7 linked regions of the Sus scrofa genome follow. The protein of the gene in region 2 interacts with the protein of the main gene of each other region in a pairwise test. Links are inferred from orthologs where the notes say so. Each region holds a gene or a part of one and is shown on either strand. Other genes may lie near its edges. The genes, in order: SSX2IP, NDN, GKAP1, ZBTB1, APBB1IP, P4HA3 and CCDC136.

Region 1 (3,945 bases), on a different chromosome or scaffold from region 2:
CCTCGGGTGCAGCCCTAAAAAAGCAAAAACAAAAGGAAAAAAAGAAAAAAAAAAAAATACACGGCTAAACTAATTTAAAAGAACTCAAACTGACATGAATGGTTTGGCTTGAGGGACAATTTTATAAACTCAAAAATCATACTTCTGACACTCAAATCATATTGCTATGAAAGGTTAGGGTATCCTCTTGCTTAGCTTTTCTCTATGGATTAATCCTATACCTGTCACATTAAAAAAAAGTATGCAATTCCTATATGCAAGTAATGGAGCAAAGCAAAATTATTATTTTTTAACTAACCAGTTGTCTCAATTTCTAGTTTATATGGATATAGACCATCTAAAATTATTTGTATAGAGCATGAAAAGGACATTTCATGAGTTATTGAGCTCAATCCCTCCACATTTATTTCTTTGTGTAATACTAGCTTATTTATTCCCTTTGCACTATCTTAGCCAGCTGCTTCTTACCTATTTTTTTATCCTTCTTGTTCATAACAAGTTGATGTAGACGTTCCTTTAGTTTATTATATTCACGCTCTTTTCTCTTCATGTCATGATTATATTGAGTAGCTCGACTTGCAATGATATTTTGTAATTTTTGCACCTAGAAAAAAGGCATTTTATATTGAATTAGTCCCTTGAGAATTCACTGGTAAACCCAGTTCCAATGTACAAATTCAAAAGAGAAAGTAAAGTCCTAGCTTTCAGCTCCTCATGTAATAGTTTAAAAGTTCTAGGATTATTCTTCCTTCTCCATAACCACTGGAAATCACTCTTTAAAATATCACTAAATGAGGAGTTGCTGCTGTGGTGCAGTGAGTAGGGAGTCCAGCTGCAGCAGCTCAGGTCACTGCAAAAGTACACGTTTGCAGCTGTGGCATGGGTCATGGCTGCAGCTTGGATTCTGTCCCTGGTAGGGAACTTTCATGTGCCTCAGGTGCAGCCATAAAGTAAGAAAGTAAAGTAAATAAATATCATTAAATGAAGCACATAAAGTTTTTATTTTTTAATTCTGAAATTTTCAGAGCTGCTAGCTTTCTAAATTATCTTCTACACCTTTCACCTTACATACAGATTCTGATCACTTAGAAACCACAAACTCTTACAAAGTAGTAATGTGATTAAAGCTTCATCTGAAACAAGCAGACTTCATCTGATCATCTGTAAGGACCTTATTTTACTTCAGACATGAATCGTTTCATCCTTTATCAATCTGTGACAAGGTCAATTAGTCATGGCACATGGAAGCAAGTAAACAGGTTCATTTTCCTCTGATCAAAAATAGTTTTCTGGGGAGTTCCCATTGTGGTGCAGTGGAAATGTATCCAACTAGTGTCCATAAGGATGCAGGTTTGATCCCAGACCTTGCTCAGTGGGTTAAGGGTCTGGCGTTGCCATGAGCTGTGGTGTAGGTTGCAGATTCGGCTCGGATCCCATGTTGCTATGGATGTGGTGTAGGCCAGCAACTGCAGCTCCAATTCGACCCCCAGCCTGCGAACTTCCATATGCCAGGGGTGACGCCCTAAATAAATAAATAAATAAATAATTTTCAAATTAGACTGAGACCAACAGCATACAGAATCCATTTCAGATATTTGCTGAGTACCTATTCTATGCTAGGTACTACTGGTCAATGTTTATATCTATTATGGCTTCTCAGGCAGTGTTGGATAGGAAGTAAGTTCTACTCTACATAGCCACTCTTTGCAACATACACAACAATGAAAACAAATGTTACAGTTTTACAGTTATGTGGTCAGAAAACTGCAGAGCAATAAAAACAATGGTTTCTATTTACATAAATTAAAAGATAATTCCAAAAGCATTATCTATATAGATCTGAATAATACTAAGTAAACACCAAAGCAAATATTAGAATTACAATGTCTTTAGCCAAGAAATGAAAATTTTTTTTTTTGGTTTTTAGGGCTGCAACCATGGCATATGGAAGTTCCCAGGCTAGGGGTTGAATTGGAGCTGTAGCTACCAGCCTACAGCACAGCCATGCATGTCTGTGACCTTCACCACAGCTTATGGCAAGGACAGATCCCTGACCCAGTGAATGAGGCCAGGAATCGAAGCCACATCCTCATGGATACTAGTTAGGTTCATTACCACTGAGCCACAACAGGAACTCCAAAATGAGATTTTTTTTTTTAATGTGAGTTGCTTTTTTTAAACAATAATTTGTGTGCCCATTTAGTCAAATAATTGCCTGACTGGATGAACAATAACATTTAAGACAGTGTAAGAAGAGGCATGCTAGACATAAGAACAGATGTGACAGAGAATAAAATACCTGCATTGAAAGCAGACCCTTACATCTAACAAAAAAGGGACAGTTCAAGTGGATACAGGATGGATGGTATAGAACACTGGCTGTCACCAGCTATGGACTAATACACTAAGCCAAATGGACCCCCCCAACCATGTCATGGAGAGAGTTCCTGACCTCTCAGTTAAATATGATACAATACTGGGAGTTCCCGTCATGGCGCAGCGGAAAGGAATCCGACTAGAAACCATTAGGTTTGGGGTTCGATCCCTGACCTCGCTCAGTGGGTTAAGGATCTGGTGTTGCCATAAGCTGTGGTGTAGGTCGCAGATGCAGCTTGGATCTGGCATTGCTGTGGCTGTGGTGCAGGCTGGCAGCTGTAGCTCTGATTGGATCCCTCGCCTGGGAACCTCCATATGCCCGCAGGTGCAGCCCTAAAAAGCAAAAAAGAAAAAAGATACAACACTGTACACAGAAGTCCAGCATCTCCATTTGACACAGGATAAATAAATGGTTCGCTCTTAAAGTGAAGTGACCATTATGATCACCTCAAATTACACACACATAAAAATTCACTGAAATTTTATCCATAATAACTGACAACTTACCTCGTCTTTCTCATTTTTCAGTAGCTGATGCAAATTCCTATTCTTGCACTGTAACTGTCTATCTCTTTCCTGAAGCCCAATCACTTCTCTCCTGGAGGTTTCCAGTTGTTCCTAAAACATTCATATGCAATTTTGATTAGTAAAAAGTCATACACACTAGGATTTGTTACCTAAAATTGAAGTTTAGCAGCACACGAAATGTTTATTTAAAACATTGTAAAGTTTGACACTACAGAGTTGCAAAATTTAACTTTGGATATAAAATTTTATTTCATTTAAATACCATTTTTTTTCTTTTTTGTGTCTTTTTAGGGCCGCACTCGTGGCATATGGAGTTCCCAGGCTAGTGGTCCAATCGGAGTTGTAGCCTCCTGCCTACGCCAGAGCCACAGCAACACAGAATCCGAGCCGAGTCTGTGACCTACAGCACAGCTCACGGCAACGCTGGATCCTTAACCCACCGAGCAAGGACAGGGATTGAACCCGCATCCTCATGGATGCGAGTCAGGTTGGTTGACCACTGAGCCACAACGGGAACTCCTTTAAACACCAATTTTTAATGTATGCACAAAAGACCTTCAGAGTGGATTCCTTGAAAGACTTTTCAACTATTCCAGTGATGTGGCCCCTGAACATTTTTATAATTTCTTTTTACTACTTTTTAACACTTCCACAGCACATTCTGTGAAAGAGCCAACAATGATTTGGAGTTCAGTCTGAAGAAGACAGGCGACCATGCAAAGCCGACCACTTCAGGTCAAAAAGGACGGGACCTCAGCATGACATCAGTTCTGCCTTGCAAGGGGTAAACTCTCAAGATTTCTGCTAGAGATCAATGGCAGAATCAATGGACTCAACATGGGATTAAGGTGCTCATTTCAGTGCATTCCACACACTTCTGGAGGAACTGGGCCAAATTCTGCATGAAGCTCCTGGAGTAATCTTTTAAAATTCTCTCACCTTTATAAAATAAAAAGCCTCTCAAGTTATAGCGTTAACTGATCACAAACAACAACCAACACAATCTCTGTAACAATGGATCTCAAGAAGATACAGAAAATT
Region 2 (3,055 bases):
TTCATACTTTTCTCTTTGTCAAATTTTTGAAATGAACATGTGAGTTACATTTTGCAAAAAAAAAAACTATACACCTCACACATATGAGTCACGATTTCCCCACCCTATGAGATGAAATATATCTGTACATTGTGTAAAATATCTCATTCCCAACCCATACTACTTTGTTAAAAAGATAAAAGTACACTTTTCCATAAAAATGACTGTATCACAAGAATCTTTAATGTTTAAAGTTTACTCATGGTGGGGTTGTTTTTGTGTTTAGTAAACTGTGCCAAGTGTCCATACTGAGCCCCTTTAAGTCCACATCACCACACTCCAGACAGATGTTTCCTGTGCCCAGCAAGATCACAGAGAGAGAGGTCTTGACTTTTCTCTTGGTTAGACCAGCTTTACTGGTGAGTTCGTCCAAACTCTCTAGTACCTGTCTACCCCCATACACATCATCAGTCCCATGTAAAAGAATAAGATGGAAAATGTCTCAATGTATTTCATAAGTTTAGCACGTCTCTGGTACAAAAAATTCAAGAAAGGTAGCACAAAAGCGAAAGCACCAACTGAGCTTACTTATAAACAAACATGCATGAATCCTACACACTACCTAATTATTACTGAAATGAATACAACATTGCATTAAAAGGTATAAAAGCACTGTACTGAAAACGTAAAAGTTACACGTGAAATACTGCACTGTAAATCCTGAATACTCTAATGTCCCACCCCCACCCCTCCACCACCCTGGTGAGGGTCAGAAACCATCAATCTGCCTCCAGACCTTGCTAGTCCTCGGAGACACTGTTGCGGGGGCAGTGGGCAGTGGGGTTGGCCTCCCGCAGGGCTCTGGCCTCTTCCAGAGCTTCCCTGTAGCGGGAAGGCCAGGCCTGGGGGTCTTTCTTAAAGACCCTGGCCAGGAACTCCATGATTTGCATCTTGGTGATTTCACGGCTGGCACGGGAGCCCCAGAAGAACTCATACTCAGGGGGCTCGACGTGGGGGACGCGCTGGTACTTCAGGTAGTTCTGCTGTACGAACTCCTCAGTGATAAGCTTTCTCACATCTCCAAAGGTGGAGTGCTTCTTCCAGGGCCTCAGCCCCAGGATGCGCAGCACGTTCCACACAGCACTCTCACGGGCACCGCGACCCTTTACGTAGATGAGGCTCAGGATCATCAGCAGGAGGCCTGTCATAGGCATGCGGTTGCTCAGAGCAACCCTGTCCAGCTCCTCAGGCGCCAGAGCTTTGACCAGCGAGAACTCCATGGTGTGCAGGCTGGTCAGCCTCAGGTGCAGCCCGAACACTCGGGCGAGGATGAGGCTGGTGCGCCTCAGGATGCTTCTGCACCACTTCTTGTAACTGCCGATGACATCTTTCACCATGTCTGGGAACCAGATGATCATCCTTTTCTGGTCCTTGACCAGCACGTACCACATGAGCTCATGTGCCTTCTGCACCAGCTGGGCCGGGGCCGGCGGCGCTGGGCTGGGCTGGGCTGTGCTCCGGGCCTGGTGGGCGCGGCCTTCCTCCGCGGCCTGCTGTAGAGCCTTTGGGTCTCCCTCTTCGCTCAGGGCCTGGGGCGGCGGCGAGGCCAGAGGGGCGTCGGGTGGGCCTACAGGAGGGATCTCTGGCCCTGCGAGGGTCGCGGCCTGGGACGCAGGCGGAGAGGGCCCCCCGGCCACCCCAGGGCTGCTGTGCACCTCGGAGTGGGAGGCATCGGCTGCAAAGTTGGGGTCACACACGTCCTTACTTTGTTCGGACATGTTTGCTCCGTCTGGCAAGGGCTCGGCCGCTGCGTCCAGGAGCTCTTCGACTCTGCGCTCCCTCGGTGGACTCCTGGAGAGGAAGTGCGCGTTGCTGCGCGCGGCGCCTTCCGCAGCGGCCGGGCGGGGCGGGGCGGCGGCGGGACAGGCTAGTGCGCCTGCGCATCCGTGGTCTGTGGGGGCCCTGCCGGCTGGCGGTAGGGGCGGGGCGCCTGGAGGGCTGGGGTGTATTGAGGTCCCAAAGGGGTAGGGGGCCTAGTGGAATACTGGCCTCATGACCCACAGTCGTCCAGTTTGGGCTAAGGAGGCGGTCCTGGGGCCGGGGGGAGGAGCGACATGGGTGAGCACTGGACAAGGAGCAAGTTTAAGAGGAAAGATGGAAACTTAAGCTTCCAAGATGCTGAAGCTGAATTTCTTAGGAAATGTTCAATTGGGTATATGTAGAATCAAGTTAGATGTGAGTTTCAGAGAAAGGCCCAGGTTGGCACATAAGCTTGGGTTTTGGATAACAAGTGTGAGAATTTAAACTGACAGAACAATCAGGGTCACCCAAGAAAATGTGTCAACTCTGAAAAAGATGCGGGATATCAGAATCATGAAAGATAGCAATAAAAATTGATTGATTCACTGCGAGTTCCCATTGTGATACAGCGGAAAGGAATCTGACTAGTATCCATGAGGATGCAGGTTCAATCCTGCCCTTGCTCAGTAGGTTAAGGATCTGATGTTGACATGAACTATGGTGTAGGTTGCAGACAGGGCTTGGATCCAGTGTTGCTGTGGCTGTAGTGTCAGCTGGCAGCCGTAGCTCCAATTCTACCCGTAGCCTGCTATGGGGAAAAAAAAAAAAAAAAAAAAAAAAAAAAAAAGATTTCCTGACTGCCAAGTCCAGGGGGTTATGAAGGAAAAATGCAGAATGTAGTCAATACATGTACAACTGAAACTTTCTTGAAGACAATGTACTAATGATACTGTTAGGTGCTTGAATGGTCATTGATTTTGGTTTTTCTACTTCCCTTGGGTAATTTTGATGTAATTTTAATTTTTTGATTAGGATCTCATCACACAAAGATTGCTGTATTTATTAGCACAGACTAGTATGATGTCTTTCTACTTGTTTGTCCAGGAAGGACCCTAATTCCCCTTATGACTGATGTAGCCTTCACGGGTGTGTTCGTGTAGACCCCACCTCTGCGCTTTCACACAAACTGACTGGTTCCAGAAATTGACAGCCACACCCAAATCCCTCCTAAGACTTTTTTATTTGTCTAACTAACCAATTAGTTAATTAACACAAG
Region 3 (4,425 bases), on a different chromosome or scaffold from region 2:
CCCAGACTAGGGGTCGAATCGGAGCTGTAGCCGCCAGCCTACATCACAGCCACAGTGATGCAGGATCCGAGCTGCGTCTGAGACCTACACCACAGCTCACGGCACCGCTGGATCCTTAACTCACTGAGCGAGGCCAGAGATCGAACACACGTCCTTACGGATACTAGTCCAGTTGGTTAACCGCGAGGAACTCCCATACATTTTCTCATGGTCTCTTTTCTTGCTGTAAAACCATCCTCATCCCCTTCAAGGTCAATCCCCAGGGCAGCCTCCTTGCTGCCTTTCTTTCCTAATCCGCTAGACCGGTCTGAGCAGTTCAGTAATCTTCTGCAGTACTCCCTGTATTTTTCACGTGGTACCTATCCTGGCTTTTCTCTCATTATACGTGTTTTATTCCTTACTCTGAAGACAAGGACAGCATCTTCAACTCCTCTCTGTAACCCTGCAGTGTCTCACCTATGGGGGCGCCTACTAAAAGTTGAATCAAAGTGATTTGGGGAGATAATGTGATGTAACCGTAAGCAGCACAGAATTTGAAGTCAAGACAGCTGGGTTCCAGCTCTGCCATTTATTAGCTGCGAGGCTTTGAGTAAGTCACTCAGCTAGGCTTGTAAAGTGAGAGTCCTACTACCTGATGGAACACCAAGGGAGATAACGTGAAAGTGTAACTCTACAGAAAACTGAGCAATATTCGTTATTTTCCTTATAGAGATCTGATGCAGTCTTTCTATTCAAACCTTGATCTGGAGGACCATCCTTACTTCACTAACAGGGGGTCGAGCCCCGAGTGGCCCCCACATTCCACCGACCCTTCTCTACCCCAGGGGCTCTCTAACTGCTCTCCGCGATGCAGGTGAAGCCGCCGAACTGCTGGTGAACGGCCTGGAGTCCTATTCTCTCGGGAGGCCTCCCTCCTTCCATCCGCTCCGGGAAAGCCCTTCTCTTCCCGGTAACCCCTCGAAGACCGCGGCGTCGCCGCCTACGTGAGACGTTTGGACCCTGCCCGGCCCCCGTAGCTCCCCTTCTCCAGCAGGTGGTTCTGGCCCTTTCCCCCAACTCCGGGCGCTCACGTCACCGGAGAGCCTCTACCCACGCGCCAGCGCCGCAACCAACCGAGAAAATAAACAAACCCCCGCGCGCGGCGGCAGACGCGCCAGGCCCCGCCCCCGCCCCGCCCCGCGGCTCTCACGCCGCCCCCTCCGCCGGGACTTCCCTCCCGCCCTCAGCTCGCGGCCGCGCTCTCCCCGCCCCTCACCGCAGCCCGCAGCCGCGCTCCCCGCCGTGGTCCGCCCGGTCCGGCGCCACGGGGCCCGTTAGTGCCCGGCGCTCGCCCGCCGCGAGCCCATCTCTGCCCCCCGACACGTGACCCAGCCCGGTCCCAACGCCCAGTGCGGCCGCCACGGGAGTCGCGGAGCGGCGGCGGCAGGGGGAGGAGGGAGAGGAGGGCCGAACCGGCGGCTGGGGAGGCCCGGTGAGTACGCGGAGGGCGGGCCGCCTCGCTGGGTCCGCTCGGGCGCCTCTGAGGCGGTGGCGGTCGCTCAGCCGCGCCACTCTGTGCGCCCGGGGCTCAGCGGTAGGGGACTTGGCCTGGGGGGCGGCGGGCCCCGCTGGCCACAGCTGCCGGGCAGAGTGCGCGGGAGGGCCGCTCCTCGGGAAGGGCCGCGGCCGCGACGCTCGGCGGCGGGCTCAGGGACGAAGGAGAGGGACCGGCGGAGACCCCAGGCCCCGGGCCGTGCCTGCGCCTCCCGAGACCCCGCGGGGGCCGGGGTCGGGGGCGACCGCAGTGGCGGGGCCGCCGGTTGACAGGTGCCGCCGTCCCCTCCCCGTCGCGGGGAGCGGTCTTCCTCCGGGGGAGGCAGGCGCTCGGAAATTTCTGGAGCGACGACCTGACTCGCCGTTCTCTCCCTTTCAGGTTTTGAAGCCGTTTCTTTGCCCGGGTTAAGTCTTGCCCAGCCCCGTTTCTTTCTCTGTGTACTTTGCGCGAATAAGTTTTGGAGCATCGGTTAACAGCCTATGGGCGAAATTTGGCTTTCATTCATGAATGAGTGAATTTCATTCATGAATTACTTTTTGAATAAAGTGCTCCTCCTCCACGCTAGCTGTTGAAAACTAAAAAAGAAGGGTGTTGAATTTTGTTGGTTTTTTTTGCAATTATTGTTTGGAACAAGCAGTATTCCAGAATTTTTGTCATCTCTAGCACTTAGGGTGCTTGGTAGATAGCCAACAAGGATAAAAATGACTTATTAAATTTTCTCTCCACTTTCTTTTTAGAGTTTTCCATTCTTACCTTAGCCAGATTTTACAGTTGCCTACCTGCTACAGCTTTCATTAGAAGCAGTACTGAAAGAGTGTCTTTCCTCTCCTGAAAAGCCAGTGAAATTTTTTCGGCACTGTTCAGTATTGTCAGTTTCTTTATATCGTAAACATGCTTGTGACTGTAACTTGAATCACCAGTTTAATAAATTTGACTTTCAGCTATAAGAATATTAAAGAAACTTTATGGCAATCAAAAATATTAAAATCTTTAATCTGTGGAAATACAGATGTTTTTTTCTCAGCAGGCTTATATACGGCATTAGATGGCATTAGCAAATCCTTATTAATGGAAGATATTCTTGTCATAAATGGTTACAACAAACTTAAGGTATCAGTCAGGTGGCTTTGCTCTGTGGACTAAGAGCAGAAACCCAGAAGTTGACTTGAGAGATCACTGGGGCAAAGGAAAATATGTGTGCTTTATTCATGGGAGAATCCCTTAGGTCCTCACACAGTACCAGCTTGTGCTTTTTGCTCGGTTTTTCAGCCCACAGAAATTAGGTGCTGCAGATTGGAGTGGGGAAGCAATATTTAACTATGAAGAAAGACATGAAATTTAGGGCATACACATTAAATTTATGTGATTTGTTTACAGCGAGTGTGTTGAGAGCAAAGTTTTTGATATGCACTTGGCACTTGGTTGTGAACCTTAGTTTATAAGAAGTCAAAGTGGAGTTCTCATGGTGGCTCAGGGGAAACTAGTATCTGTGAGGACGGGGGTTAGACCACTAGTCTTACTCAGTGGGTTAAGGATCCACTGTTGCTGTGAGCTATGGTGTTGGCTGCAGATGCGGCTTGGTTCTGGTGTTGCTGTGGCTGTGGTCTAGGCCAGCAGCTGTAGCTCCAATTCCACCCCTAGCTGGGACTGTCCATTTGCAGCAGGTGCAGCCCTAAAAAGAAAAAGAAAAAAAAGATATAAGAAGCCAACGTGAAAGATATTTAGTTGTGTTATTTGACATAATACAATGAAAATTTTTTTCACCAGATGTGAAGTCACTCATACTCAGTGCCATTTCATTTTATGGCTTTTTTTTTTTTTGAATCTAAACTATATTTCAGAGAAGCATCTACATTATATTCATTTCTTTTTTTTCATAGGCTTACTGGTTGATAGGCTTAATGGAAGAAAGAGGATATATTGGGTTGTTCTTGATTGAGGATTTTATACATAATCAGTTTTGAAATGCCCTAATTGTGATTCCCAGGAATGAGGTATGGCTACTGCTACCATCTTTCTTGACCTTAGAGTGATTATAGTCTAGAGGGATGACATCATAGTGGCAGTGAACCTCAGAACCTTGGTAGAAGAGACCAAGAGGATCAGCTGTTTAGAAATCCTGCTGCTGGCAGTTGAGGCTGTTCATTTTAAAACGTAGTTTGCTTAAGCTCCTGTATCCTAACTCTTTTTAATCAATATTTTAAAACCAATTATGCTTCCTAAACGCAATTAATTGTGGTGATCAGTTAGAATGACACTTAGAGTAAAACAACTTTAAACTGCTAATAATCATTGTTAATGCACACTTGCTTCTAGGGATTCGGCATTATGTCTATCACACTTTGCATTTTATTTTGCTGTCCATTCTACTTGAGAGCACGTCTTTGAACGCATAGATAGTTGTATACTTGGGCAATTTCAATAATCCTTCTAAAAAACCAAATACAATAAATGTATCCTTTTTTGTGCCAGGTTTTATTTGGGGTGGAAAGAAAAAGCCTTTGTCTTTCAGGATGTTGAAATCAGAATTATGAGGGGCTAGGCACAGCAGCAAACAGATCATTTTAATGAACTCTATTCAGTAATAAAAGTAAATATAAAGCACAGAAATATCACAGAGGAGAGAATGATTAACTCAACAAGCAGGTTAGAGAAAGCTTTACAGAAATGTTGGCACCTCAGCAGGATTTTGAGGAACAAATACAAATTGTAAATGGAAGATAGGGCGTTTTAGGCAAAAGACACAGCAGAAATATACGAACAACTAAATGTGTGGTCAGGAAATTGTAAGTAGTTTGTTTTGCTCCAGTACCAAATCTGAGGAAGGACTGTTGCTATAGAAAGCTGTAACATATGCTCAAATGTTTGAAAATGGATTAGCTTTTTAAGTA
Region 4 (4,686 bases), on a different chromosome or scaffold from region 2:
ATGAACTAATTCTTCCCCAGAGCCTGGCAAAAGAGGAGAATAGATAAACAGCACAAAAAGTTAGCAGGGTTAAGGCAAAATCAAACACAAGGTCAAGAGCAAGTGGCTGATATGGTGCTCTGCCCTGCTAAGGTCCTGGTTAAATATGGTTTCTCTTTTCTCTGACAGTGATGCACCAGGGCTCCCCACTTCCCCCAAATTAGGCCATGTTGGGTAGGAAGAATAGAAGGCTTCAGGTAAGACTGCTCCAATGAGTTACTCTATACCATGAAAATCTGGTCATAAAAGACAATCTGCTTTAAAATGAGTATAAGATGTTGACTCAAGGTTCCACTCACAGATTGTATTATTTTATTAATCTTTGGAAAAACATTTTACCTTCACTATGCTTCAATTTTCTTTTACAACGAAGAAGCCCCCACCTAGTTTCCAAAGCTATTCAGTTATCATTGAGACTTTATTAGATATAAGTAATTCAAAAGGAAAATTTTGAGGTTCTGGTGGCCAGCCATCATTCAAGTTTCTTCTTTTTGTATCCCAATTCTCCTCATCGTATCTTTTTGCAATGACAAAGTTTCATAATTTCAAAGGAGAAGGTGATGATTAGTTTGGAGTTATCATGAAAACTGCATCCTTCACCAAATCTGCTCCAGAGTGCCTTGAACTTCAGCTCAAGAAATTGATTCCAAGTCTCAAAAAGCCTGGGACCACTTCTTGGGTTCGAGTGTCAAAGGGAAGCGTTCCTGGCATAGTTTTTCTGCCTGGAAATACACTTGGCCAATAAAGAACCTGCTGGTATCTACCACGTTGAATCTCAATTTAGGACTATTATTACACAACAGACAAATGCCCTACTGTTCCCAGAAAACATCAAGGACTTCCACCAACATCTCCTTGACGCTCCCAATTTGGAAAAATGTCCTGTCAACCCTGCAGACAGATCACGTAGATGTGCTGCTTAGGTAGGAAGGGAGACTCGGAGGATAGCTGAGCTCAGACAGAAGCCTACATATTTTAGTGGTAACGACTCTCGATTTGCATCCAACCCATTTACCGAAAACTTCTAGTGAGCTCCCAACGCTGGAAGCGAAAGCACTTTTCTCCCAGGAAACATATCTTTCCACTGAAAATTCCCCAACTCGAGACCTACCACTTTTTACTGAACAAAAAGCGTGTGTGCCGGCGGGGTGGGGGTGGGGGGAAAGAGCGTGGCAAGAATTTGCACGGCTCTTATGCCTCCTCCCTCGGAGCGCGCCCAAGTCTGCGGCCTCGGGCTCCGGGACACTTCCCCTCCCACCCGCCGAGAAGCCGCGGCTGTAAGTTGAGAGAAGCGGGCTCTGGGCACGTCAATCAACCGGGTCCTCCCGCCTCCCGTCTACACCTCCCCCCCCCCCCCCCTCAAAAAATAAAGGCAGAGAAAGAAAGGAAAAAGAAGGTAACTAATTTGGGAACTAGTCTCCGTGGGCTTCGCCTCCGACCCAGGGAGGCCGCACGTCCCCGACCAGACGCGCCGGAGGGCGGCGGGATCAAGCAGGCGGCCCGGCAACCGCCTGTCGCCGGGTCCTCGCAGCGCGTCCGCCGCGCTCTGGCTCCCCGCACGGGTCGGCGCCGCTCCGGCCCCGCACTCCGTCAAGCTCGCGGCCCGTCACCCTCCCGCCCGGGCCAAAGTTGCGCAAATAGCCCCACAACTGGCAAATACTCACCGGCCGCAGCAGGATCCGGGGCTGCGGAAATTTTAGGGAGTTTAAGGCAAATCAGCCACAGGAAAGGCGGGCGGAGACGAAGGGGCCGCGAGCTGCAGTGGCGGCGACGCGCGGCGCTCGGGCTGGGCTGCGCGGAGAGGCTCTGGCTCTGCCAGGGACTGTGCTGCAACAAAGGACTTCCGCTGCCGCACAGCCGCGCCTGCTGCACCGCACTGAGCCGGCCCCGCTTACGCGGCGACTCCGGGTCTGCCCACCAGTTCGCTGCGGCGTCCGCCAGCCTTCCCCTCCCTCTCGACCGCCCACCCACTCCGCCGCTGGCTGCTAGGGGCACCCGCGGTCGCCTGTTTGTTGCAACAAGTTTCTGCGTCGGGTTCCGAGGAGGCTGGCGCAACCCGCACCGCGGGGGCCGGCGCGGCGACAGCCTGACCACCCCTCTTGCCCCTCTCCCTAGGGTAGGCTTGGGACCTCCTCCTCCTCCTCCTGTTTGCACAGCTGGATGGGACTGGGCTCCTCCCGACTCCCCAAGGGCAGGATGCTGCTTTCCCACTCTGTCCAGATGTCAGACCCCGGCCCCATAGGGCCCAGCAGCTGGGCCCTCCCTCACGGTATGTCCCTGACGTTCTGGGGGCGCCAGCACCCTTGCTCTGTCCCGTGCGCGGCCAGCTAGTTCAGGGTCGCCCATTGCCCGCGCTCCCCCCACTCCTGCCTTCCGTGGGCCTGTCCGCCTCTGGCCTTGAGTCACTTCCCCCGCCATGCCCAACCCCGCCCAGCCCGCCTCCCCTCCCAGGCTCCCGTGGTTCAGCTTCCCTGGCCCCGCGCCCTCACCCCTCAGCCCGCGAGTATGCGGGCGCATCCTTCCCTGCCCCCACCCCGAACTGAGGGGTGCCCGTGCTTTTGCACACCCCAGGGAAAGTCCCCGGGTCACGCGGTTTTGTGTGGGGAGCCTGTGACGCTCAGGCTTCGCTCCACGCTTCCGCCTACAGAGTCACGACTAGCGACCGTGGCAGAGGCACCTAGAACGCGGGCCGACCCCCGCCAAGCCACTAGAGCGGGCGAGCAGGCGGGCGCGCACGTACGCACGCACGCACGCACACTCCGGCCCCAGCGCCCCAAGTTCCCCGGCTACCAGGCGCGCGGTCACGTGGACCCATCGCGGGGCTGTTGGCGCGGGAAGCCGCGCGAGAACGAACCGCGGGGTGCGTGAGCCGGCGTGTCCGCGTGACGTACGCGGCGCGGGAGCCGCCCCTCCCGCACGGAGGAGTCGGCCAGCAGCCCGCCCGCCGCGGCGGCCTCTGGGTAAGCAACGCGGCCCGGCCCTTGTGGGCTGCCCCGGGCTCAGTCCCTCCCGCCGCGAGCCGCTTTGGGCGGCGGCCTGCAGCTGCGTCGGTCGCGGGACAGATGCAAGTAGCTGGGGAGGGGGGTGTTTTTGGTCTCTTTGAGATGTCAGGGCACCGAAGGAAAATGGCAACCACGAGTGAGAGCTGGGCCAAGGATATCCAGAGCGGTCCTTCGCTGCCCGCAGCACGCAGCTGTTAGGGCCTGACGCAGGCCGGGGGCGTGCGGGGGCGCAGCAACGACTCCGAGCTCTTATAGCTGCGGGCCAGACTGCGACCCCGCCCGGAAAGCCCCGACCCGCCTGCGGCATTCGCCAGGCAGCGGCGACCCCGGCAGCTCTCTCAAGTGGGCGGTTCTCCAGGTGCCACCTGCCAGACGCTGCAGCTACTGGCCTCCTTCTCCCTCCTCATCCCCTTTTGGGATTAACCCTGCAGGAAGTTGCCTCCCCCCCTCCCCTCATTTATCCTTCTTTTTTCACATTATATTACTTTTATCCTAAGCAAATCCAGCCCCCCCCATCTTGCTCCATCTCTCACTGCCTTCCCTAGCACTTATTATTTGGGGAAAATCAAGCTGTTGTCAAGCTGCTTAGGCTGTGCACTGTGCCTGGAAACTAACAGCTGCTAACTTGCTTCATATATTAACGCTCCTGTTTCCCCTCAATGGCATGCGTTCTCTTGAGAGTCAAGTCATTTTGGCAGCGCTTTTGATTCCCACAGGATTTTGTCATGTGCGTGAAGTACACTTTAGAGTCACAAATTTTAAAGCTGAAAGGAGCCTGATAGAAAATGCACTTCATCTCTCATTTTACGGAACACCAGGCGGAAAGACTGTGTAGCTTGATCAAAGCCCTATACCTCTTCAGTAACTGGACTCCAAGGCTCTCTCTAGATGCCTTAGTCATTGCACTCCACCACACCAGGAGTGCGGTGCAGTTTAACCCACTCACTGTAGAGACGATCTGCCAGAGGTGATTATACTTGATTTAATTCCGGTTATTGAGAAATTAAACTTGGCCAGTGTGTGATGGCTCTGGTATTTTAAGGAATGGAGTTGGCACTATTTCTAGGTGGAATAGAGTGCTTGTTAATGTACTTTGAGCTCAAAGCTCGTCCCTCTCCTGCCACGAAAAAAATCCAGCACTATTCTTGCCGAGGATAACAAAGACTAGCAGTTGCTTCCGTGGGTAAAGGCACCAAAGACCCCTTTAGCCATCTGGATATGCTTTAATTAAGGGTAAACTATTAGTCCATTGTCAGACATCAGTTCCTTAATAGGGAATGGAACACTGATGGGATAGGAATCGGAATAGATGAGTTCTGATGGGTAGGAGGTTAACAGGAAGTGTGGAACATCGCAGGGTTGGTCAGCAAGAAAAGAGGACTTTCTACACCTTTTGCCCAACCCTGCCCTGAATGGCTTATTTGGAGGTAGTAGAGATGGATTCTGCCCAGGTTTGGTGGCTCTTTATTGAGTATCTGCAGTGGCTAGCTGCTTTTAGAGATGAATATTGAATACTTAGCAAACAGGAGGTAGTGTTGGCTCCATCTTATAAGTGAGGAAACAGGCTCAGAGAGATTTACCTGGCTTTGATGATGCAGTCAAGTGCAGTAGAATTCAAGCCTAGATCACTTTATCTCTCAAGTCC
Region 5 (4,519 bases), on a different chromosome or scaffold from region 2:
TGAAAACCACCAGAACTGATAAATGAATTCAGCAAGATAGAAGATTAACATACAGAAATCGGTTGCCAAGTGCACTTCTTTACACTTACAGTGAAATATCAGAAAGAGAATGTAAACAAATAATCCCTCTAAAATCACATTAAAAAAAAAAAAAAAGGCATCTTAGAAATTAACCTTACCAAGGAGGTGAAAGACATATGCCGAGAACTACAAAACATTTTTAATAAAGGAAATTGAAGCTGGTCAAAGAAACAGAAAAATAACCCATGCTCCTGAATTAGAAGAATTAATATTGTTAAAACAGTCATACTACCCAAAGCAACCTACAGATTTAATGCAATTCCTATCAAGTTACCCATGACATTTCTCACATAACTAGAACTAATAATCCTAAAATTTATGTGGAACCATAAAAGCCCCAGAACTGCTAAAGCAAGCCTCAGTAAACAGAACAAAGCAGGAGGCTTAACCCTCCCAAACTTCATACAATACTACAAAGCTACATCAATCAAAGTGGCATATCAAACACAGACACTTATGGCAACAAATATTATAAGTAGCTCATTCTTTTTTTTAATATATTTAAATTTATTTTTGGTTTTTGGCTGCACCTGCAGCATGCAGAAGTTCCCGGGCCAGGGAATCAAACCCACACCATGGCAGTGACAATGCCACATCCTTAACGTACTGAGTCACCAGGGAACTCCCACAGCTCATTCCTATAATATAAAAATATCTAGAACTTTTTATTTACAAGTGAAAAAAGGGCAAAAATAGCAGGTGATTGGTATACATTCTCAGGATTTTTCTCATACAAAATATTTAATGGATAACAGATAACCTAGTAAATACTGTGCTTAAGATTTAAAGTAATCCATATTACAAAGTTACATTTCTTGAGATGTAATAATTAAAGAATTCTGAAATCTAGTATCTGCCTAACCAAGCTTGGGCACATGAACTCCTTACAAAGTTTTTCCATAGAATGAAAATTTGCCATTTTACATATACACCAGAAATTGACTTAAAAATAAGGAACATTTTAGAAACACAAGGCCTCAAAATATTTCAGAATCTAACAATGTCTGTTATTATTATTATTTTCTCCATTCTCCTTTGTTACTGATCAGCAATTTTAACTTCGTCAGCATTCCAGACAGGACAAATTCAAAGAATTATGGCAATTCCTCAATTGCTATTTTAATGTCAGACAGAAGCAGGCAATGATCTTTACTGATAAGTTACTTCAGGTCCAGAGAGATATGAAGCAACCTAATCAAGCTTGTCCTTTCTAAAGGCAGATACGGAACAGGACTCAAGTCTTCCAAATACCCAAAGACACAAATATTAGTAATAGTATGAAAATTACTAAGTATTAATAGTCTGAGGATGACATTAAATTTCTTAAACCTTTCACAACACGTTGAGCAAACAGGAAATACCATCCGGAAGACATTACAGAAGTTTCATAGTAGATCCTCTGATATTTTGCTAGCCAGCTTTATTGCCCATGTGCCATCCTAGCATTTCAGTGAGACAGGAGAGAACAGTGCCACTGGAGGTTTATTCAAAGGGACAACCTCGGCTCAGAGGCCTAGACTTTAAAATTAATAGTAGCTAGCATACCTACCTTTATTTAAACCACATTAGACCACCAGAAATCATAACTTGCGGAGTAATAAACTCATGAGCTTTTACTTTATGTTATTTTCCTGTTACTCCACCTCTCCTAAAATGATCACATTAAAAGTTATTTTTGAACTGCTCTGCCGTGAGTGGCTCTAGGAAAACACATGTTTAGCGTTCCACAGCGGTATGAATGATAAGAAATACCTTCCCAGCAGGAAAATAAAAGGTGGACTGGGCAAGGTTTTCAGGGACAGTCCCCTCATCCTCCTGGATATAATGACATCCAGTTAGTTTGCTTCACGCTAGAAAAGAGCAGTCTGGATATTCATTCCAAGCCAAATTACAAAACTTGTGCCCGGGGTCCAAATCTTTCTTTTATCTTATTTTAAAATGAAAAGGCAATAATTCGGAGGAAAAATTATTTGTGAAGAGGAGGAACAGTTGTCTGGAAGTTTTCAAGGAAGGAAGTACTCTAAGATGCATCAGACTGAAATCACTATCAAATTCTCACACGACTTGAATTCACCCTACAGCGCCCTGAAAGGCCCCCAGAAATTCCTTCAGCGTCGGTGAGACTGGGGTTCCCGGACCTGCTTAACAGGCCAGGGTGCGGGCCAGTTCCCCGTTTGACCTTGTAGCAATTTTCTGGGCAGGAAATCAGTCAAATCTGGTGAAAAGGAACGCGGGGAAGGCGAGCCCTAGCTCCAACCCCCCGCGGAGCTCGGTCAAGTACAGGGATGAGGGATCCTCACAGCGGAGTCCGAGGGCCCACCGCCCTCGGGAGCCAAGCGGGGAGCGCGCGTTCACAGCGCCAGCACCGAGAGCTGGGTCGGGCCTCGGACCCGACGGGCCGAGCTCCTGGTCGGACGATAGCCCCTCGTTTCCCGGTGTAGCTCCCGGTATCCCGGGGCTGGCGGGCGCCGCTTACCTCGACGGCTGTGCACGGCGGCGCGGGGACTTGGTGGGGTCTCGGCGGGGACTTGCGGGCGCGGCGGGGAGCGGCCGGCGTCGGGGCGGCGGCCGGGAAGGCGACGCTGTGCACTCTGTAGCGCCCGGGCTCGGGTCTGCGGCAGGGGGAGGAAGTGGTGTCAGCCCTGCCCTTCTCACACAGCGCGCAGACGTGGGGCGCTGGCTAGCCTCTCGCATCCAGGGGCAAGGAGGACGCAGGGTTAGAGACACACCCACGCACGTGGACTAAGGCGCCTCTAGCTCTAGTACGCGGCTTCTTGCGACTCAGCGGGTCCGGGTCTCATTTCGTCTTACCCCGCCCACACCCTCCCGAAGCAAACAATTTGGTTTTACTTCTGGGAGAAGTTGCACCTGCCTCTCTCATCCTTCCCCTACCTGGGCCACGCGCCCCCCTATCTTGGGACTGGCCGCTTCGTTGTCGCTTGGATATATGGGTGGCTAAGGGCTTGGGGGCCCGATGATGATTCCACAAAAGCTTGAGAAGTCGATTTTTTTTTTTTTTTTTTTTTTTTTGCAACGGTCTTCCTAAGTGTTGACTTCAGCCCTTTCTGAGCTTCCTCTTTCAGGCGGGTTATGCAAGGCCCGCTTCCCGGCCACGCACTGGCTGCCCTTTGGGGTCGTGGGAGCCAGAGTGGAGCAGCCTTCGTGGGAGGGGAGGCGCCAAGGCCGGGGTTCCTCGGTCTCCACTGGTGCCTGGGTGTGGAAGGGCGCGACCCGCAGAGGAAAGGCGGTTTTTCAACTATCCTATCAGATTGGCAAACCTTCGCCCCAAAGCTTAACGACACTCAGTTGGTGGGCGAGGATGTGGCCTCTCCCATATTGCTGGTGGAAGTTCAAAATGGTCCAGACACCGTGGAGGGGACATTATTGGTAGCAACTATTTAATTTACCTCAGCAATGACTTTTTTTTTTTTTTTTTTGGTAACGTGGGCAGCATGAGGAAGTTCCTGGGCCAGAAACTGCACCTGAGTTACAACAGTGATTGGAGCCACAGCAGTGACAACACTGGATCCTTAACTTTCCAGGCCACCAGGGAACTCCCGCAATGACCTTTGAGACAGCAATGCGACTTCTAAGATTGTATTTTGGAGATACAGTGTTGAAAAAGGAATAATCCACATGCACCTGGCTATTTTTAGTTAGTCGATTTGTAATCTCAAAGGACTAACTAGAAATACACCCTCACCCCCTGACTTTTGGGAGTGGAGTCTCCAGATGGAAAGGGGGGAGATTTGAAAACGTGGAAGTTGAAATCAGTTAGATTTGGAAATGTGGTTAATTCACCTCTTCTTCCCTCCTACAGATGTGTCTTCAAGGGCTTAAATGTGGGGAAGCCGGTGGAGACCTAATGGCATAAATTAGACCCATAAATTAATTAGGTAACTCAAGATAGTTCAGTCATTGAATAGATAGTCCAGCATGAACTCTTCTCAGAATAATAAAAACTGTAAAGAAGAAAGCAATTCCTGCTTTCATGGAAGGTACATTCTAGTTGGGAGAAAATAGACAATATAGAAATTAATATTTAACATGTCAGGCAATGTAGGCATTTTGAGGGAAATTAAAAAGGGAAAAATAGAAAGTGACGGGAGTGGGGATGAAGATGCTGCATTAATTAGGGTCATCAAGGAAGATCTGGCTCTATCTGACGCTTGAGCCAGACCTAAATGCTTGAGAAATTAATCTATGTGGATTTTTGGATGAGCATATTTCAGGCAAAAGGAAGAGCACATTCAAAGACCTTGAGTTAGGAGGGCTCTTGAGATGTTGGAAAAACAGCAAGGAATGGACTCTCCTGGCTGCGGTAGGGACGTTGCTCTGAGGGATGGGAAGCTGTTGGGAGGTTCTGAACAGAGTCATAGTATTATACACAAAGTCAAGTTGAGCAACAGAATGACTTTCATGGGAAAGGAAAAGAGGT
Region 6 (4,698 bases), on a different chromosome or scaffold from region 2:
GAGTGGGAAGAGACAGTTTAACCAATTGTGGTTAAAACAGCTTTATTTTGCTAATTTTACAAATACATGTAACAGGGCGACCACCTTGTTGGGCTCCACCATTCCTCAATCCTGAGGGCTTTGGAAAGGGTTTGTGCAAGTCAGAGGCCTTGACGCTTAAGCCTCGAAAGCTTTATGGTCCATTTGCCTCTGGTAGCGATTAAGAATAGGATACCCGGATCTACGGTACCAAGGTTCAGGTTCCTGCTTACTAGCTGCCACGTGGATTGTGTTGCTATTACAGATGAGGGTCTCCAGAAGGAGATGCTGAGATGGATTTAAGGTGCAAGGTCTTCATTGGGGATCAACATCTGTGAAAGGGACACGAAGCAGGAAAGGGCAGAGGAGGAGGTCAGGAGGCTTGGCAAAGCTTGACCAGTGTGGCAAGTGGGCTGGAGCTAGTATTGCCAGTCAGAGCTGTCTCATGCTGGGCCTGCATGGCTGGAACTTTATTCCTTCTCCTTGCTCAGTTGCTGGATGTCCATGAATGCCACCTTTAAAACTTCCATTGGATTCTCGTAGCGGACAGTCTGAATTTCTTAATATGACATGCAAAGCCCCTTCACAGTCTGACAGGTCCAGCTGCAAGGAACTTTTCATCATTTCTGCAACTCAAACTATTTCCCAGCTCCAAACCTTGATATACATAAATACCTTCTCCAATCCCTCCCTGCCTGTCGTCTTGCAGGCAGTTCCTTTTCACCCTTTTGGACCTCTGCACAAGGCGTCCTCTGTGGAGCCCTCTCAAGTCTCTGCATGGGAATGGGCTCCCTCCTCAGGGTTGTCATGGCTCCCTGCACAGCCGCTGGTTACTCCCACAGCACTTTATGGTTATTTGTTTGCACCTCTGTCTCTCCTTATGAGTCCACTGTTGGATCTGCTATATCTCTCTGTCCTCAGCACAGTACAAGAGATGCTAAATGTTTGTTAAATGAATGAATGAATATTGCCTAGGGGAGGAAAGAACAGTAGTAGGATATAATAATATTTTTATTTGCTTAAATGCCTATGGGTATGTTGTGTAGAGCACTGACCCAGAACCCTAGAGTTTTTTATTTTAAAGGTTCTAGATTTGTCAGGCACTGATCCTAATGGCCGTCTCTCTCTCTCTCTGGTCAAAATTCTGTTCATCCTTCAAGATGGTTCAGAGGTCAAGTCCTGTATGAAGTGCTTTCTTCCCCTTGGTCCGTCACAGCTCCACCCGCACTGCTGTGACCATACATTTGCTCTCCTGACTTCTCCATCAGAATCCTATGCCGTTGCTGTATTTCCGCTGCTTGATCCACAGGGGTAAATATTTGGGGATGGCATTGTACAGCCATAAATCGGTGAATTCATTCCTCACCACACCCTCCGCCTCAGTTTCCCCAAGTGTGAAATAGGCACAGTGGAAATGCTTTTCTAGAGCTGTGGTTTAGTGGAGGGCAGCGGACCACCGGCAGCCCCCGCAGAGTCTGAAGCGCTAAGGGGCTGGAAGGTGGGACGTGGAGCGCGAGGGGAGGGGTCAGAACGCGAAGTCGGGGGCGGGGCCGGGGCGGGGCGGAGAGGCGGGCGCAGGGCCGGGCGGACCGTCTGAGGGGACCAGCGCGCGAGCCCAGCGATGGGCCCTGCGGCAGGGCTGGCAGCGCTGCTGGCGGTGCTGGCGCTCAGGGCAGGGGACGCAGCGGGGGTCGCGACCCGCGGGGACACGTTCTCAGCGCTCACCAGTGTGGCGCGCGCCCTGGCGCCAGAGCGCCAGCTGCTGGGACTGCTGCGGCGCTACCTGCGCGGGGAGGAGGCGCGGCTGCGGGATTTGACCAGGTGAGGGCACTGGGGTGGAGTCTGAATGGGGCAGTGGGGAGACACTGTGCCACGGGGCGCGGTGGGGGGAGTCACTCTTAGGTTCACTGTCACACTCGGTAGGACTTCAGACTCCATACACTCGGTGACACCCCCATCCAACATAACACAGCCAAGTTGATACACTGTGGGAAGGGGCCCGGGGGGTGGGGGGTGACTCCAAGAGGAAGTAGGACCTCACAGGGTACTGGCTCAAGCTGTGTGGGCTCCCGAGCTGTGTCACAAAGACACAGCAACACTGCGAGAGTGAAATGGAGAGTGTATGGTGACATTGTAGCCACACGTGCTGACCACGTGACCCAAGGAACTGATACTTGCTATAGGTGACATTCTGGACCGTGTGTGAGATTTATGTGTTATTGGGACTGGGTGGGTAGGACTCTATGGCTGTCATACTGTGCCTGTGAAAGATGCTGGCAGTTGTCTGGGTCACTACGTGAATAACACTTCGTGTTCATCAGGTCGTTCAGCACATGTTTGAGTGCCTACTCTGAGCCAGCCACTGTTTTGGGCACTGGGGAGGGACTGGTGAACAACACCCAGCCTTGCCCTCTAGGAGCTTGGAGTCTGTAATATCATGATTATTAAAATGAGATCTCTGTCCTTCCCTTTGCTTTCAGCTCTCCTTCCTCTTTGCACATGTTAAGAACTCTTTAAATACTGTCACTGAGATGCTATTATGTGTATGAAAGTATTTGACACCCGGAAAACACTGGGCAATAATCTACTTGATACTAGCGGATGCAGGGTGTACACACCAGCAGATGCTTAGCCAGTACTGTTTTGCTATACAACCGACCAACTACTGTAGGACTTGGAACGCTGAGGCACTGTGACCGTGTATGACTCTGTCAGTGTTAGTGAAAGATAAACGATCAGATAAGATACCGCGTGTATGAGTGAGCGCTGTGTGGAGGACCCATGTAGGAGAGAATCAGTTTGTGTGAGGAAGTGTGAGAGCTTGTTTGTTACCCAAGGGTGACTGAATGGCGATGTAATCTGGTACAAGCTCTTAAGGATGCAGCATGCATATAAGCAGTTATATGCATATGTAAATCTGTTAATTTGGAAAAGTGTGATGATACACATATATATTTAGTATATGTATGTGTGTCATGATAAATGATGGTAATTTCAACAATTCTTGAATAATTCTACTCTTTGGAGTAGTATAGTTGCCTAGTGTTCTGTAGGCCCATGTTTATAAACGATTTCATTTTGTTCTTAGCCCAGATTGTTGGAGTCCAGTTTCATTGGTAGAAATAGAACAGCCTCTTCTCTTTGGTTCGAGATGTCATCACGCTCCCTGCTGCCCATCTGCTTGTTCGCATACCACTCATCTCTTTATTCGTGTGGCTTAGATGGAGATGGTGGTTGGAATCCTGATGTCACACATCTCAGAAGAGAGAGCTCAAAGCTTTGATCAGAAGGACTGGCCAGGGTGCCCCTTCTGCCAACTGGTCTCCTTTACTGTCTTGCCATTGTTGTCACAGCTTTGTCACAGTGGGAGGTCTTGCACAAACCTATCTCCTTTGATTTTCTCTCAAACACGGTGCTTTGAAATAGGTTTGTATTACTCTCTTAAATAAATGAGAAATCATTTAAAATGTCAGAAAAGTATAGTACCTTATCCAAGATTACAAAATCGAATAGGTGGCAAATCCAGGTCTAGGACACAGCTCCTTTGACTGGTTCTCTCAAGCTGTGATATCCATACTGCTTGCTCTATACAAGACGCCAGGACGTCACCAAGCCCCAGAGCCACTGAGTTTTATGAGCAGCTGGAGTACATATTGGTTAAGAGTCTGGCTTCAGGAATTTAACAGACGTCTGTTTGAATGCTTGGCTCTGACCTTGGGCAAGTTCCTTTACCTCTTTTTAAAGTATTTCCTAATCTGTAAAACAGTGATAAAAATGGTGCTTTCCCTCATAGGCTTGTTGGAAGGATTATATACCATGTAAAGGAATGTAGTAATTGCTCAACAAATGTTAGCTCTTTATGGTTGTCGTTTATTTTAAGACTGGCTGGTGAAACTAGACCCCGCTTTTGGCTGTAAGCAGTAACTAGGGCTCTGAAAGCTTAGACAATAAAAAAGAATCAGAAAAATTCCAGACTCTCTTCTCATATGACTTATGAACATTAAATTTCAGAAAGTTTAGTTTGATATTTTAGAGACTGACTGTTCTCTAGTCAGTGCTCCAAAACCTGGTGAAATGTTTGCTTTTTGAAGAAAGCATTTTGGGAATTACTGCTCACTTTCCTATATTGCCAATCTGGCGATCTAATGTAACTTGAGATGTTATTTCTAAGGCCCTAACTTGATATTCTTCTTTGAGTTTCTGAATTTAGAAATTAAATATTTTTGATGTTGAAACTACTACCCTTTACTACAAGTTAATGAATAAAAATTATACTAGTTGTAATGTATATATTTGTATACTAATGTAGTATCACATATACTAGTTACACACACTCACACACATATTTAGATAGTTAACCCCTGGCTTTTTTTGTTGTTGCAGTTTTAAAACCATCAAGATTTAAAAGTAGTATCAGCAGCAATTATTTCTGTGCTAGGAATCAAGCATTCAGAATATCTCAGAAGAACCAAGACAAAGCCATTTCTCAATTCCAAAGAAGAAATATACCGAATTAAAATAGCCCATGTATTGTGGCCGGGTAACCTGTCCAGGCTATGTTTCATGCAAGGATTGGATTGCAAATTTTATTGCAGATTCTTGAAGAAAAGATCTGATTTTCCATTCTCAGCAGCGTTTGTTAAAACAAAAAACCATATAGGAAACCCTGCGGTTTGAATT
Region 7 (4,687 bases), on a different chromosome or scaffold from region 2:
TGTTGCCACCAGCCTACGCCACAGCCACAGCAACGCCAGATCCCAGCTGCATCTTCGACCTACACCACAGCTCACGGCAATGCCGGATCCTTAACCCACTGAGCGAGCCCAGAGATTGAACCCACAACCTTATGGGTCCTAGCCGGATTCCTTTCCACTGCGCCACGACGGGAACTCCAATACTATTGTTAATAGGCAACACTGAACACCTTAAGTGTGGGATCATACGTTAAATGATAAGCAGAGCATTAATTAGGAGATTTAACTTCACTCATTTATTCTGTGTCAATGATTTAGATACTGGAGATACAAAAACGACTAAGGCAATTTCCTGGTCTTCCAAACACTGGGCTGACAGGAAAGTCAGAACATGACCTTGACAACCTAGAGTGACTGGTGCTGCTTAGAGGGAAGGGGGAGGGGTCGGAGCACAGCAGGAGCATCTAATGGCTTGGCTGGGTGGTGAGTCGGGAATGGCTGCCAAGAGATGACTCCCAGCTGAGTGTTTAAGGGTACGTAGGGGATGTCGAGGCAAAGAAGGGCTTCTCTCCTGAGGAATATGGAGGGCTTGTGAACTTGGGAGCCGGTGGGCGTGATCCAGACAGTATATGCCCATGACCTTGTAAGTGGATGCGCAAGAGAAGGGACTGTCCCTGGTTTAGGAATCTCCCAGTGATTTTCCAGATGTGCTGGAACCTCCGGGTTCCCAAGTGTACCCATTTCTTTCCTGGCTGAGACCTGCAGAGGCGTGAGCCCAATTGGTTCGCCAAAATCTGGCACTTGGAAGAAGTTCCTTGAAGGAGCGGTTGAGTGAAATAAGCTATCTGGGCTTTCACATCTCCCTTCTATGAGAGTGAAAATCGGCAGTGCCCACTCTAAACAGCTGCAGAGGCTAGGTGAGTAGGGGTTGTGGTTTGCAGACCACCGGGCCTGGGGCCCGGTGGGAAGGCAGGCAATGGAGAAAGGTCTTCGACACTAAGGGCTGCGTGGGGTCCCGGAGCGGCCCCTTCTAAGAAGGTCCCTGCTTGTGGCTTGGCGGAGGGCGCAAGGCCAACAGAGAGATCAAGGCCCGCAGTTGAAGTATCCTGGCTTCGGTTTCCCTCCTCCAGCCCTGGAGCAGCCCTGAGGCTGAGGCTGGCGGCCGGAGGGTCTGCGCTGACTGCCCAGGTGGAGGGTGCCGCTCAGCCGTGGGGAGCAAGGGGCGTGTGAGCATCCGCGCGTTTGGAGGAAACAGGCCAGGAGGATTTGGCTCTCCTGGTGCTTGCTTTTCCTTCCCCACCGCCGAGCAGGACCGGGCCCTGGCACTTGGCGCAGAGGGGTGCCCCCACGCAGCCGCCTCCCGGCAGGACCCACCGCCAGACCAGGGGAGCCGGTCGCTCCCTCGGCGCGGGCCTCGGGGCGTGTCTGGCGACGCGCTTGCACCGGGTCCGGGAGCTGGGGTGCAGGGCCGGCTTCCGGGCGGCGGCGGCGGCGGCGTCAGGTGGCCTGGCCAGGCCCCGCCCCCTCGGCCGGCCCGGCCTTCCTTCCCCTGCGCACCCGGCTCCGGTCCCCGGCCTGGCGGCGGCGGCGGCGGCGGCTGCTCCGGGCGGCGGCGGCGGCGCGAGCGGCCATGGAGGCGGGCGCCGGGGCCGGCGCGGGCGCCGCGGGCTGGAGCTGCCCGGGTCCAGGTCAGAGCGCCCCTCCCTCACTTCGCCACCGCCGCTCCTTCCTCTTCTCCATCTCTCCTCCCTCCAGACCCCCAGGTCCTCTCCCCCTCCGCTGCTCCCCACCTCTCCGTCCTAAGTCTTCCTCCTCCATCCTGCCCCCAGCCCGGGCTCCGGCTCCATCTTTCCGGGCTGGCTCTTCCCCACACCGGCCGCATCATCCCTGGCAGTCCCTCCCCTGAGCCCACTCCATCTGGTCTCTCCAGCCTGACGGTGCTTTTTGCCTTGGGGGCTCCAGACCCCGCACCTGCTCGGACCCTGAAGGCTTCGGAGCGCGGGGCGGAGTGGGGAGGACGAAGTCCAGTGAGAGCTGGAATGGACGGCAGCGGCCCCAGTCCAGACCCCCTTCCCGCACGCGTCCCCTCACCCCTTCCCCTTCCACCTCACCCTTTGAGCCTCTTCTCTTTGCTGGCTCCCGCCCTCTTCCATCCTTGCCTGTCCCCTCTGGGCTAAAGAGACACACACACGCCCTTTCTGTCTGTGCAAGGGAGAGGAGCACGGACTGGGGGGCAGAGAAGCTGGGCAGTGCAGGGCGGTGTCCCCGCAGGCCCGCTTGAGGGGCCACCTGGGGCGGAGAGTCGCAGCCCTGGGCAGACTGAGCCAAGTACTTCCACTGGGATGAAAAACCCCAGGGCTCCAAAGGGCTAGGAGGCATGTCCCCTCCCCTCCCCGCTGCACCCCAGCCCCCAGCCGCCCCTAGCATCCCACAGTGCCCCCTCTCTCCCTGCTTACAGGACCCACAGTGACCACTTTAGGCTCCTACGAGGTGTCTGACGGTTGTGAGAGGAAGAAAGGCCAACGCTGGGGGTCCCTGGAAAGGCGTGGAATGCAAGCCATGGAGGGTGAGTTTTCCCCAAAAGCTTTCTTTCCCTCCACCTCGTCCAGCTTCCCTCTCCTCCTTCCTCCCTCTGACCCCCAGAACTCTGAGCCAGGACACAGCCCTTCCCCAAGTTCAGCTCAGCCCCCTCCAACCCTCCTCAGGGCTCGGGCTTTGGGGAAAGTTCAGGGTACATCCCTTTGGGGTCCTAACCACCAGCTAACCAAGTTGTGTGTCCCCAGGGAGCTGCCAGAGAGAGAAAGAGGCCTCCTTGGACAGAGATTTGAAGCAGCTGTGCAGCAGGGGGTTTGTTCTCGCTGCCTCCCGACCCAGATCCCAAGCTGTCTCTTATTTTGAAAAGCCAGAGGAGTGAGCATGTGAATTGTCTTTCTGGTGTCACCACTAACTTCAAATGGAAGCCTTGTGACTTCGGTTCTCTAGGTTATCTTACTGCCTGAAAGAGGGAGCCTGGGAGAGGGGCCGGCGAGAAGGCCAAGCTCCCAACGCGCATCTCACCCTCGACACCCACACAGCTTGGCACTTGCTGCCTAAATGAGGCCCCTAGAAGGATGCTGGTCCTATTTCCAGGACTTTCTGTGTAGGGTCCCCAGGTCCCTATACACACGTCCACGCTCCAAGAGGGACGGATGAGACAAGGGGTCCCAGATAAACCTTAGGCTGTGATTATTAGACAAAGATGGACCAGAGATTGAGAATTTTAAAACAAAGCAAGCTCTTACCATCCAGGCAAGATTTTGCTATTGAGAGGAACTGCATTGCAGCAAAGGAGAGGGGTTGCTCACCAGCCAGAGGCTGGGGACCAGCACACCCCCATTTCTTAATGCATTAAAATGGCAGGCTTTCTTTTATTCACGAGGAGAATCCTTGACTTCCCCCCCAAAACTGCCTTATGGTCAGCAGGGGAAGGGGCCTCAGAACACTCAGGGAGAGGAGGGGAGACCTCCTGACACAGCAGAAAAGAAAGGTGGACCTGGCAGAAAATTTCCAAAGGGCTATTCGATAGAATGTATTTGAAAGGGGCCCCGTCTTTGTCCAGAAAAGCATTTAGAATCATTTCAGATGATTCTCTTTGGCTGTTCTCTTTCTCTACTGACTGACAGGCAACGCTTTCTTATTATGGAAGGGCTAATTTCTCACAAGCCACCTGGATCCTTGGTAAACTTAGTACAAACCCCCAAACTGTAATTCTTGTCCTGTTGGGCTTAAAGACACACCCGGTGTCTGACTCTTTCTTGACTACCCAGAGACGAGGCTGGAGGAAGCAGCTATCCTTGTGCGAGCCTCATGGGGCTCAGCCGGGCCCTTGGCTGCTCAGTGTGCCCAAAGGCAGTACTAGGAGGCCACCAGGTGCAGCACTGGTCCAGGAAGGGCCCGGGAGGGGGATGGGCTACCTCCAACCCCGACCCTCACACCTGAGGACTCGTCCCGTGTGCAGGTCCTGCCCAGAGGCTCCTTGGGGGACACCAGGTGGCACTATGATACCATCTCTGCCCTGGGACAGCATGCTAGAGGGCCCTGGAAGGACCAAGGACAGGAAGCTGGCTCTTACTCGCTGGGGGTGGGGGGTCTTTCCTAGGGGAAGTGTTACTCCCAGCCCTCTACGAGGAGGAAGAGGAGGAGGAAGAGGAAGAAGAGGGGGAAGAAGAGGATGATCAGGTGCAAAAGGGAGGAAGCGGGGGCTCCTTGTCCCTCAGTAAGCACCGGGGCCTGAGCCTCACGGAGACCGAACTGGAGGAGCTGAGGGCTCAGGTGCTGCAGCTGGTGGCAGAGCTGGAGGAGACCCGGGAACTGGCAGGGCAGCATGAGGATGACTCGCTGGAGCTGCAGGGTGAGTGCCTGTGACGGACCCCGAGGGCCGGGGCCCAAAGGCTCTGTGCTCCCTGGATCCCAGGCCTGACGCCAGCTCCCCCTTCACTGCAGGGCTCCTGGAGGATGAGCGGCTGGCCAGCGCCCAGCAGGCAGAGGTGTTCACCAAGCAGATCCAGCAGCTCCAAGGTAAATCCTGCACTCAGACTGGAGGGCCCGCCAAGTACTTTTGTCTTGAGGGCTTGGCGGAGGCACGCAGACCAATAGGACCGAAATCAGTACGTTCCCCTCATTTTCTTCTACTGTGCTTGCCCTGCTCCTATCTCTCCAGCCTCCTCTT

The links.
Region 1: the proteins of NDN (region 2) and SSX2IP interact in a two-hybrid assay, tested with the Homo sapiens proteins (2 studies listed by BioGRID). The link is inferred for Sus scrofa from reciprocal best matches to the Homo sapiens genes NDN and SSX2IP.
Region 3: the proteins of NDN (region 2) and GKAP1 interact in a two-hybrid assay, tested with the Homo sapiens proteins (2 studies listed by BioGRID and IntAct). The link is inferred for Sus scrofa from reciprocal best matches to the Homo sapiens genes NDN and GKAP1.
Region 4: the proteins of NDN (region 2) and ZBTB1 interact in a two-hybrid assay, tested with the Homo sapiens proteins (2 studies listed by BioGRID and IntAct). The link is inferred for Sus scrofa from reciprocal best matches to the Homo sapiens genes NDN and ZBTB1.
Region 5: the proteins of NDN (region 2) and APBB1IP interact in a two-hybrid assay, tested with the Homo sapiens proteins (2 studies listed by BioGRID and IntAct). The link is inferred for Sus scrofa from reciprocal best matches to the Homo sapiens genes NDN and APBB1IP.
Region 6: the proteins of NDN (region 2) and P4HA3 interact in a two-hybrid assay, tested with the Homo sapiens proteins (2 studies listed by BioGRID). The link is inferred for Sus scrofa from reciprocal best matches to the Homo sapiens genes NDN and P4HA3.
Region 7: the proteins of NDN (region 2) and CCDC136 interact in a two-hybrid assay, tested with the Homo sapiens proteins (2 studies listed by BioGRID). The link is inferred for Sus scrofa from reciprocal best matches to the Homo sapiens genes NDN and CCDC136.

The regions. Positions count from the first base shown.
Region 1 is NC_010448.4:129,086,988-129,090,932, reverse strand, and holds part of SSX2IP (afadin- and alpha-actinin-binding protein), read right to left. Parts: intron 2,995-3,945; coding exon 2,884-2,994; intron 605-2,883; coding exon 469-604; intron 1-468. UniProt on the Homo sapiens protein: Belongs to an adhesion system, which plays a role in the organization of homotypic, interneuronal and heterotypic cell-cell adherens junctions (AJs).
Region 2 is NC_010443.5:142,411,390-142,414,444, reverse strand, and holds NDN (necdin), read right to left. Parts: upstream 1,758-3,055; coding exon 780-1,757; downstream 1-779. UniProt on the Homo sapiens protein: Growth suppressor that facilitates the entry of the cell into cell cycle arrest.
Region 3 is NC_010452.4:31,140,576-31,145,000, forward strand, and holds the start of GKAP1 (G kinase-anchoring protein 1), read left to right. Parts: upstream 1-1,223; 5' UTR 1,224-1,471; intron 1,472-3,408; exon of another isoform or gene 3,409-3,528; intron 3,529-4,425. UniProt on the Homo sapiens protein: Regulates insulin-dependent IRS1 tyrosine phosphorylation in adipocytes by modulating the availability of IRS1 to IR tyrosine kinase. Its association with IRS1 is required for insulin-induced translocation of SLC2A4 to the cell membrane.
Region 4 is NC_010449.5:88,573,723-88,578,408, reverse strand, and holds the start of ZBTB1 (zinc finger and BTB domain-containing protein 1), read right to left. Parts: upstream 2,847-4,686; 5' UTR 1,704-2,846; intron 1-1,703. Other genes in the region: ZBTB25 (zinc finger and BTB domain-containing protein 25), read left to right, coding at 3,827-4,008.
Region 5 is NC_010452.4:49,239,832-49,244,350, forward strand, and holds the start of APBB1IP (amyloid beta A4 precursor protein-binding family B member 1-interacting protein), read right to left. Parts: upstream 3,034-4,519; 5' UTR 2,558-3,033; intron 1-2,557. UniProt on the Homo sapiens protein: Appears to function in the signal transduction from Ras activation to actin cytoskeletal remodeling. Suppresses insulin-induced promoter activities through AP1 and SRE. Mediates Rap1-induced adhesion.
Region 6 is NC_010451.4:8,664,657-8,669,354, reverse strand, and holds the start of P4HA3 (prolyl 4-hydroxylase subunit alpha-3), read left to right. Parts: upstream 1-1,591; 5' UTR 1,592-1,639; coding exon 1,640-1,839; intron 1,840-4,698. UniProt on the Homo sapiens protein: Catalyzes the post-translational formation of 4-hydroxyproline in -Xaa-Pro-Gly- sequences in collagens and other proteins.
Region 7 is NC_010460.4:19,820,614-19,825,300, reverse strand, and holds the start of CCDC136 (coiled-coil domain-containing protein 136), read left to right. Parts: upstream 1-1,563; 5' UTR 1,564-1,609; coding exon 1,610-1,667; intron 1,668-1,733; exon of another isoform or gene 1,734-2,006; intron 2,007-2,437; coding exon 2,438-2,545; intron 2,546-4,117; coding exon 4,118-4,369; intron 4,370-4,461; coding exon 4,462-4,536; intron 4,537-4,687. UniProt on the Homo sapiens protein: May play a role in acrosome formation in spermatogenesis and in fertilization.